2 linked regions of the Arabidopsis thaliana genome follow. The protein of the gene in region 1 binds, or shares a complex with, the protein of each later gene. Each region holds a gene or a part of one and is shown on either strand. Other genes may lie near its edges.

Evidence for each region.
Region 2: CAF1b (region 1) and AT3G58580 share a complex: the UniProt entries of both Arabidopsis thaliana proteins name them as parts of the CCR4-NOT complex.

What each region holds. Positions count from the first base shown.
Region 1 is NC_003076.8:7,364,911-7,368,788, forward strand, and holds CAF1b (Polynucleotidyl transferase, ribonuclease H-like superfamily protein), read right to left. Parts: upstream 1,890-3,878; 5' UTR 1,532-1,889; coding exon 695-1,531; 3' UTR 567-694; downstream 1-566. Other genes in the region: OFP10 (Ovate family protein), read left to right, coding at 1-369; MS1 (RING/FYVE/PHD zinc finger superfamily protein), read right to left, coding at 2,797-3,878. UniProt on the Arabidopsis thaliana protein: Ubiquitous transcription factor required for a diverse set of processes. It is a component of the CCR4 complex involved in the control of gene expression.
Region 2 is NC_003074.8:21,659,839-21,666,052, reverse strand, and holds AT3G58580 (DNAse I-like superfamily protein), read left to right. Parts: upstream 1-1,957; 5' UTR 1,958-2,355; coding exon 2,356-2,513; intron 2,514-2,707; coding exon 2,708-3,455; intron 3,456-3,547; coding exon 3,548-3,634; intron 3,635-3,715; coding exon 3,716-3,799; intron 3,800-3,875; coding exon 3,876-3,962; intron 3,963-4,059; coding exon 4,060-4,146; intron 4,147-4,255; coding exon 4,256-4,309; intron 4,310-4,404; coding exon 4,405-4,496; intron 4,497-4,591; coding exon 4,592-4,706; intron 4,707-4,792; coding exon 4,793-4,943; intron 4,944-5,038; coding exon 5,039-5,187; 3' UTR 5,188-5,455; downstream 5,456-6,214. Other genes in the region: AT3G58570 (P-loop containing nucleoside triphosphate hydrolases superfamily protein), read right to left, coding at 5,701-6,214. UniProt on the Arabidopsis thaliana protein: Acts as a catalytic component of the CCR4-NOT core complex, which in the nucleus seems to be a general transcription factor, and in the cytoplasm the major mRNA deadenylase involved in mRNA turnover.

The sequences.
Region 1 (3,878 bases):
CACTACACCCCGGGACCACCGGTTTCTCCCACGGTTTTACGCAGCCCATGTCCTAAGATCGATGAGAGCGTCGCGATGGCTAAAGAATCAATCAATCCGTTCGAAGATTACAAGAAGTCGATGAATCAGATGATCGAAGAGAGATATATCGAGACGGAAAGTGAACTTAAGGAGCTTCTAAGGTGTTTCTTGGACATAAACCCTTCTCCTCAACACAATCTCATCGTCCGTGCTTTTGTCGACGTCTGTTCACATCTCCAACCACCACACGACCGACGTGGGAAGTCACTTGGGAGATTGCTTCGTCTATATGTTAACAATCCTCTTGATAACAATGATGATGACTCACACCAAACTTCTTCAAAATGAGGAACTAAATCCTCCTCATATCTCTCTCTATATATAGATGTTACAATATTGTGAATAATTTCAATTTATGATTCCATGACTAGATGTAAACTATTAAACAACACCAACAAAAATCAAAGTTATACCTCAAAGCCTAGCTCTAACGTAACGATAATATTTTACTGCACAAAAAGTTTTGAAGTGTAAATTGGTTAAACAAAACCAAATTGAGTTATTTCGTTTTGGTTTTTGGATTTGGTTAAAACGAGAGATGAATAAGATAATTTCGATTTCGACTGTATAAATGATTAACAAAGATTAATTAAATTAATTAATTATAAATCCCTCAAAAAACCTCTAAACCATACAAAACTCCGGCGTGTTTCTCCGCCCCATCCTCAACGAAATACAAATCCCTCATCCTCTGAAACGCCTGCCACGTCAGCAAACTATCCGAACCGGCTTGATGACATTTCCCAACCGCCCGGTTAACTTCAAGAGACCGAGCAACCCGGTCCAAACCACCATACAATCTCTGCTCACAAAACCTCATAATATGTTTCACATCATAAACCCTATCACCGAAGAAAGCTCTAAGCAACCCTAAAAACTCACGCAACGCCACCGGAAGCTGCCGGCGCGTGAGAATCTTCACAAGGTAACCAAAATCATACGCGCTGTGAAACGTCACCCAGCTCACAGACTCGTTACAGATCAACCCCGATGACATCATCAGCTCCGCGAACCTCTCCGATTCAACACCTTCGCGACGGTTCCGCTCGAAATCGATCCCGTGACGACGGAGTAGCTCGATCGAATCAGGAGCGTGTGGATCACGCTCCACGTCGAAGTCACGGAAATTGAATTCCCAGATGTATCGACGGTTTTTTTGACCGCCGAGATCTGGGAGGTTTCCGTCGGCGTCGGAGAGAGTAAGACCGACTTGGATCAAACTTAAAGCGTCAACGTTGGATTTGAGAAGATTGTAGAGATAATTAGGGTTTCCACGGCGGAGAACGTCGAGATCCGCCTTGTAAATCACGCCGGGAAATTCTGTATCCATTGAGATGAATGGGTAATCTTCGACGATTCCTCTGATTAGGTCAAACTCTGACTCGAGATTATAAGCCCAAACGTCACGAATCACGATCACATCGGAGAGATCTGCTTCTGATTTGATCATAGTTTCAAGTCCCGATCTTTTAGGTCTTCTTCTTCGTTGTGAATTTATCAAAAGTCTGTTTTTTTTTGTTGATTTGGTTAATCTGCAAGGTTTAGTTATATATATGAATGTGAGTAAGAGAGTGTTTACGAGGAAGGAGAGGAGAAGAAGTGTGAGAAACGCGCACGTTTATGATTCAATGTGTTTCTTGACTTAGTCTAAGTTGGCTTCTCCTTCGTGTATCGAATTATTGCAATTCAAGTCGTTGTATTTAAGTAAGTACATTAAGCCGACAAGAATAAGAAGGCCAAGTACATTAAGATTTTCTATTGGTTTTTAAGAGTTGAATAAAACATGTAAACGTTACGACTTACGACCAATGAACTTTATCAGGAATATTGCTATATTACCAATAAACACTGAATATGTAACGACGCACTAAAAACGCATTAAAGGGTTGAATCATTAGATTATGATGATGTCTACACGTATCTGATTGTGCTTTAATGTTTTCACGAAATTGTAGCAACAGCGAAGCCTAGGTTGAGCCCTTTTCAGTTTTCATTGTTCCCTAGTTTACTCATCGAATCTCATGACTTTGTTGGTAGTGTTTAGAAGATTGTTCTTCCAGATTTGGATGTAAGTCCCAATTTCTAGAAACAATATCACAAACGTAGATAGTCCGTGGAGTTTTCCATCTTCAGTCAATATAATAAGAAACTTTTTAGGACGTTGACCTTGAACAGAGTTGTTAAACACATGACTGTTTTTCTTTCATTTCCTTTGTTTGCAATAACTTGATATTGTTCCATGTTAATGAAGAAATAATTTATTAATTCCAAATGCATCAATTGTAAAACTAAATTATTTAAATTATGTAAACCTTCTTTTGTTTGTAATTTTGTTTTTGCATCAATTGTAAGCCTAAATTATTTAAAACACTACACACTTCTTTCTCCGCCTTGTGTTGTGAATTATTTTCTGTTAAAATTTAACTGCCTTTTCTTGGAGACAAGCCTTAAGGTTGTTGTCAAGTAAAACTTGGAATCACGGTTGGAGTAGATGACGTCACATGAGTCATCAGGGGAAGAGGAGAGCGACATGTTGATAATGATATTATTAGAACAGTCAGGCTCCAGAGGAGGCAAGGATATGACTTTGTGATTCAACATGTTGGTGATATAGACGCAGGAGGGATCATTAGAATTCACGTTGATCGAGGAGTATAATTTATGTATTATGACGTAATGATAGAAAAAAAGAAGGTTTAATATAACATGAATGATTTAGGGTAAAAAAGAGAGAGGAATAAGATGTTGATCACAACTTTGACAAAGAAAAATGCGAGGCACTTCCTCATTGTGTTGAACACCAACACACCTTGTGTGTTGCCATACTTCACAAATATCACAACACACCATTCTCTCTCCATCTTCTTCCGTTGCTCCACACTCACACTCTATTCTCTTATCCTTCTTTTTATCATCATCTTCATAACATTTCGTCACTTCAATGTTCATCATCATTCCTACGTTCCCTTCTAACACCAATCCCTTATTCCCATTCAAGGCCATTTCATCGACCCTTGTGATCTCTATTTGACCACCCACCACTGACTCCACCACGACGTCTCTTAGTTCCCAATAGATATCTCTAAACACTCTTTCTGCCTCTCCGTACACTTCACTCAATGTTGCATCTTTCTTCACTACAATGCATTCTTGTGGAGGAACTTTTATCTCGTTGTTATGATGATGACATTTCCACGCGATCGTGCAGAATATTCCTAATTCTTCCCCTCGATCTAAGTGTAACGTTTTCGCCGATGTATCTCTAATGTAGTGATACTCTTTGATGAAGTACTTAGCGTCGAGGATTGCTCTTGAAGCCATTCCGATTTGGTTCAATATACCTCCTATGGGGCCTAACACTCCCTTGTAGTCCATGAGAATGTGTTTGTAAAAATAAAACATGTCTTTCATAACTTGACCTCTTGTGATCTTATTGTGACCGTTTGTCGCCATCTTCCCCATTGAGTTTTGGTTTTGAAGGGTTATGAGTTCATTGTTACTACTTGGTAACAAATTTGATATATCCTCCAAGGAATACTCTAGCACTTTCTTCACCGGATTTAGACTACGTCGGACCAAATAGTTTCCAACCACCTGGTTCCCAAGCGACTTCAACACAAAATCAAGCAAACCAGTGTCCCCAATGTAATTTCTAGCTGCATCCCTCACTTCTTGTCTCGATATCCATCGGTATTCGACTCTTTTCAGTGACTCTATGACCACTTTGATAGCCATTTGGATCCGTTTTTGAGACCATCTGCAGTTGGTACTATCAATGGAGATGATTTGGTTTCGGG
Region 2 (6,214 bases), on another chromosome or scaffold:
ACGGTTTTATCTGTCCAATTGACCAATCTGGCCCATATTATTTTACAAATAAGATCTTTCAAATTGGCCCATATTTAACAAAAGAAAATCGAATTAATATTATGGTTTTCTAAATGAACCAAAATCAACTCAACTTTTTTTTTTTGAATAATTTTATTTTTATTCCATAATTTAATTTGTTTATCATTTCCAATGAAATTTTATCATTAATAAAAAAGGTTGCTCTCCTCATCCCTTCCATCTTTCCTTTCACATTTTTTAGATTATACCTCATGTTTGAATAATATTGGTTTACATATCTAATTCATATTGAAAAACCCTCCAAATCTCTAGAGAAAAAGGACGATAAGAGTACTTAACTCACAAAGGGCAAATACCCAACTTTTGAATCTCCTTACATATTTTATGACAAACTATGAAGGTGTCCTCCAAATACTCTTTAATCATCTTTTGATTATCATCTATAATGATTGTTTCTTCAGACCTCATACCCATATCTTCGAGCGGTTTTAGTATCTTTACTGTCTCGTTAAATAGATTCTCATTTACCATTTCTAAGCATTTCTTCTCTTCTATCGTTAGATCAACTTTCAATTTTTGTATGTCTTTGACGGCTTCCAACAAAACTAACAACAACAAAAAGAAAAATCAAATCAAAAGATTTCACTATAAAGAACAAAAAATAAACAAATTGTTAGTTACCATCATAGAACAAATAATATTCAGCTGCCACAACCCTTTTGAAAAGTTGAATACGTTCTGTGCTTTTGCTCATCTCAACAATTTTGATTAAAAAAAAAAATATCTAATGCATTCTTTGTTACAAGGTCGAGATGTTATTTTGTAGCGTATATAGTGTTTGAGGCTTCTTTGTTTGGAAAAGATCGCTTTCGAAAAATAATAATTATTATTATTTTCCATGTTATGCTTCATATAAAATGTGGACTCAGGCCTCCGAAATAACAAATAGAAAAAATTGTGTTGAATGCTTAAAAACGAGAAAGAAATCTCTCAACTTTGATTTACTGGACACGCATTGTATTTGTTTTCTATAATTAGTTCAAAATAATAATTTGTAAATAGTTATCTAAATTCGGTAAAATACAAACCGATAACTTTTCATATCAAATACAACAAAAGTTAGATATAAATCTTAAATTTCTATACTTTAAAATTGAGTAAACCTGAAAAGAATGAAATTTAGTCTACCTAAATTTATTAAAAACCAACAAAATTTTCATAATTCGAACCTTAATTATTTCAGGTTTGAACCGCTTATATTTATGAAAACCAAATGAACTAGCTAAAACGAAAACAAAAGCGAAAATGAACATGACAATTTTGACAATGTTAAAATGTGATTCTTTCATTAATTTGACAAATTCAACAATTCTTAAGAAGATCAATTGAATTGATAAACTATGCTGCTCTTCTTGGGTAATTCTCACATTTTAAAAAAAAAACAAAAAAGAAGAAGAAGTTAATTCTACCTTAATCTGCAACAAATCGTCTTCAAGATAATTATATCACGAATTGATATTTCTTGTCTCTTAATCTTAACGAAGAAACTACACCTCCTGGCTCCTACTGAATGTGCGTTGAACACTCACCTATTGACTCATCTTCACCATTCCTTCTTTCTTCAATCTATCATAGATATAAATACACTTCTTTTAAGTCACCAATCTTGTTTTCGTAATGGTACGAGTCATAAATCTTGATTTGTCTTTGGTAAGTCATGTTTAGTTGTGGATTATTTGTTTTTACGCATTTTCTAGATTTTAAAATTTTATCTTTATATAAACAAAAATAAAACGAAAAACTTTCAATCTTTGAGCGCCAAAACCAAAATTTTCATCGAAAAGGAAGATCAATTAAAATATTATAAAATTTCATAATAATGTCTTCAAAGCACAAAATAATAGTTTTAGTATTAAACCCACTCGGGGAAAAAAAACACATAAAAAAACCAAAATCGATTTCATTGATTTTTTCCATATTCACAGCGAAAGAATCGATCCTTAATACAAAATTCCTTCAAGATCTCACATCTCTTATAAGCTTTCTCGATACCATCATTTTCCTTTCTTTTTTTCTTTTCTTCGATTCTAATTTGGTTCTGCCGGATCTTCAACCTTGTCTGAAGAAGACATTTTCTAGGGTTTCTAGAGATTGGTCGGGTTTTCGGTTCAAGTAAATGGTGGATCAGCCTATCGTACGCTCCACTTCATTAGGTTATCAACGACAATATTCATCATCTAATAATCATCATCAAGGTCTTGCTTCGATTCTGAATCTCTGCTGCTGCTGCTTCGATAGTGTTCTTCGACAATCACCAGGTGTTATTGAAAAGCAATGCTGAGCGTGATCCGAGTGCATCTTCCTTCTGAAATTCCCATTGTGGGCTGTGAATTGACTCCTTACGTCCTTGTTCGTCGTCCCGATAAGAACTCCACCACTGATGACGTCCCTGAATCTGCTCCTCTTGAAGGCTACTTCTTGAGATACAGATGGTTAGATTTCTGATTGGCTCTTTGTCTAATTGCTTTCTTGGATCATTTGGCGAATTGGGGTTTATCAAAGATTGAATTTTGATCTGAATTCAGAGATTTCTCATGTAGATGTTCTGATTTAGGTCGTCAAATGGTTTTTGTGTGTAAAGTTCTGATCTTGTTGTAGATTCATTTTTTGGATTTATTTGTTGTAGGTATCGTGTACAGAGTGATAAGAAAGTAACGATTTGCAGTGTGCATCCAACGGAACAAGCTACTTTACAGTGTGTTTTCTGTTCTAAGCGTAGATCCCTTGTTCCAAAAAGCTATCACTGTTCGCCAAAATGCTTCACGGATGCGTGGCAGCATCACAGGACTTTGCACGAGCGAGCAGCTGCGGAAAACAACGCAAACGAGGATGATGACTTGAACAGGAATAACAGTGCGGGTTCTGGGTCTCTCGCTGGTTCCTTATCTGGGTCTATGTCAAATCTTAGTATTGCCAACAATGGTCCAGCTCCGTTTTATCCTTCTAATATTACTCAGAAAAATGGAGGAGAGACTTTAGTTGAGGTTGGGGGTTGCAAAACGTACACTCCAACAGCTGATGATATTAGCCACGTTTTGAAGTTCGAGTGTGTTGTGGCTAATGCTGAGACTAAACAGATTGTCGGACATCCTAGTACCATTTTGACTTCACGGGTTATTCCTGCTCCTTCTCCAAGCCCCCGTAAGCTAATCCCTGTTAACGGAGCTGATGGGATGGGTCACTTAGATCAAGATGCTCGGATTCAGTCTGCAGGATCATTCACTGTTCTTTCATATAACATTTTGTCTGATACTTCTGCAAGTAGCGACCTCTACAGTTACTGTCCTCCTTGGGCTCTTTCATGGCCATACCGAAGACAGAATTTGTTAAGGGAGATTGTTGGATATAGAGCCGATGTAGTTTGCCTGCAAGAAGTATGTTATTCGTATGGACTTGGTAATGATTTAAAGCATTTTAATTCTGAAAAATCTACTTCTAATGTGTTCTTTTTTTTGTTATCTGGCAGGTACAAAGTGATCATTTCCATGAAATTTTTGCTCCTGAGTTGGATAAGCATGGGTATCAAGCTCTTTACAAGAGGAAGACTAATGAGGTTTGGTCAATGATTCCACACACTCCTTCCTTCAGTGATTTATGTTTTAAAATCTATTAACCACAAATTTCTTGTTGCTAGGTTCTCAGCGGAAGTACAAGTGCCATTGACGGCTGTGCAACATTTTTCCGGCGGGATAGGTTTTCGCATGTCAAGAAATATGATGTTTGTATTCAGTTCTATATGTTTACTTGCTAGATCCAGTAAGATCTCTATACTAATTCATGGACTGTAAATCCAGGTTGAATTCAACAAGGCTGCTCAGTCTTTGACTGACGCTCTAATCCCTCAGGCTCAGAAGAGAACTGCTTTAAACCGACTGGTTAAGGTATTTTTGACATGGTATACAATATTTTTCTGGGCCACAGCTGATTATCAGAGAGTTATTGTTTACAAAACTGAAACCAATGATTCTTATGTTGTAGGATAACATTGCGTTGATAGTTGTTCTTGAAGCCAAATTTGGTAATCAACCTACTGATCCTTCTGGGAAGCGCCAGCTTATTTGTGTGGTACTGGTTCTTTTTTTTTTTCCATTCTCATGAGAACTGTTAGTTTCTGTATATGCTCTTTTAGTGAAAGCCAATGAATTTTCTTATTTTGTTGTGGCAACTTGTTTAGGCAAACACACATGTAAATGTTCAACAAGATCTGAAGGATGTGAAGCTCTGGCAGGTTGGTGTATCTCTATATCCGAAATAAATCAAATTTCATTGAACTCGAAAGAATTAGTATTCACCTCATGTTTTCTTTTATTCTTTTGCGTTTAGGTTCATACCTTATTAAAGGGACTAGAGAAAATAGCAGCTAGTGCCGATATTCCTATGCTTGTGTGTGGAGACTTCAATACGCTTCCTGGGAGGTTTGTTGATTCATAAATTCTTTTGACATGATACATGAAATGCAGAATTCTCTTATGAGTAGCTAAAGTTTTTCTTTTTGGCATTTTTATGACAGTGCACCTCATACACTTCTTGTAATGGGAAAGGTTGATCCAATGCACCCAGATCTGGCAGTCGATCCCCTTAATATCCTGCGTCCTCACACCAAATTGACTCATCAATTGCCTCTGGTAACATTGCTTTTTTCGATTTAAGTAAATTTATACCGCTTATCTTTGCGTCTCTCTTGGATATTTGATAAATGAATTGGTTTCAGGTGAGCGCGTACTCATCGTTTGTGAGAAAGGGAATAATGGGTCTTGGATTGGAACAACACAGAAGGAGAATAGATCTTAATACAAACGAGCCTTTGTTTACCAATTGTACAAGGGACTTCATCGGCACTCATGACTACATATTCTACACAGGTTTCACCATTTTTAACTCCATTGTCCTTGTTTTCAACTACATCAGAAATAACAAGTTAACTTAATTGGAAGATTTTTTTGTGTTTGGGTTTCAGCGGATACATTAATGGTGGAATCTCTATTGGAATTACTGGATGAAGATGGATTAAGAAAAGACACAGCTCTTCCTTCCCCAGAATGGTCTTCTAATCACATTGCTCTCTTAGCTGAATTTCGATGCACGCCTAGGACAAGACGCGGTTAACCGCCTTCACCACCCACCATCATTTGCTTACAGATAGGTTTTTTTTTTTTGTTCCGATCTTCTTCTTTGATCAGACTATGACATCAACTGTTTAGACGAAACCTTTACCAAATCTGTGATAGAGATGACACAAAGATTCAAAGGGATTCTGAGTAAGGCAAACCACTCTATGAAGTTGGTCATTCTTTATTATGACCCCTGTGTGGCTCTGTCTAAACCTCCTTTTATATCTCATTTTGATCCTCAATATAGTGAAAACCCTTTGACTTTTCTTTTCCTTGGATCAATTTTAATGTTTGAACTGCTTTGTATGACTAAATAGCTCATGAGAATAATATGGGTCTACTAGGGGGTTTTCTTTTTTCACATTGAACAAAGAGACGATTCGTGTCTACTACATAACCATTTAAAGAGCAAACATACACATCTGTGGCTGCTCCCTAATAATAAACAATAGAGATAAGTGAGAGAGAAAGAGAACATAATCGGTTCTTGAAGAATTGAAGTTAAAGCTTAGTCCCACGCACTAGCCACTCCAGGACCATACCCTTGGTTAGGAACGGTTCCATATCCTCCAGGACCATAGTAAGCACCACCACCTCTACCATAAGGTGCATAACCACCACCCGGAACATTTCCATATCCACCACCTGGTACGGGTCCGTACCCACCAGGCATTGCTCCATAGCCACCACCAGGAACGCCTCCATATCCACCACCTCCACCATAGTAGTCAGCACCACCACCGCCTCGACTAAAAGATTCTCTCCTGAAGTCACGACCACCAAACCGTCCACCAGACCGCCGGTTCTTACCACCTCCAAATGAAGCACGAGATGCGTATCGAGTCAGCCAGTCAGGGACCTCCTGGTTAGCTTCTTGCATTAGCTCAGCCAGTGGCTTGGCCATTGTTGTGTTGTTGTCATTGAAGAAAGCAGTTGCTAGTCCTGAATTTCCTGCACGTCCTGTTCGTCCGATACGGTGGACATAGTCATCAATGTCGTTTGGTAGATCAAAGTTCACTACA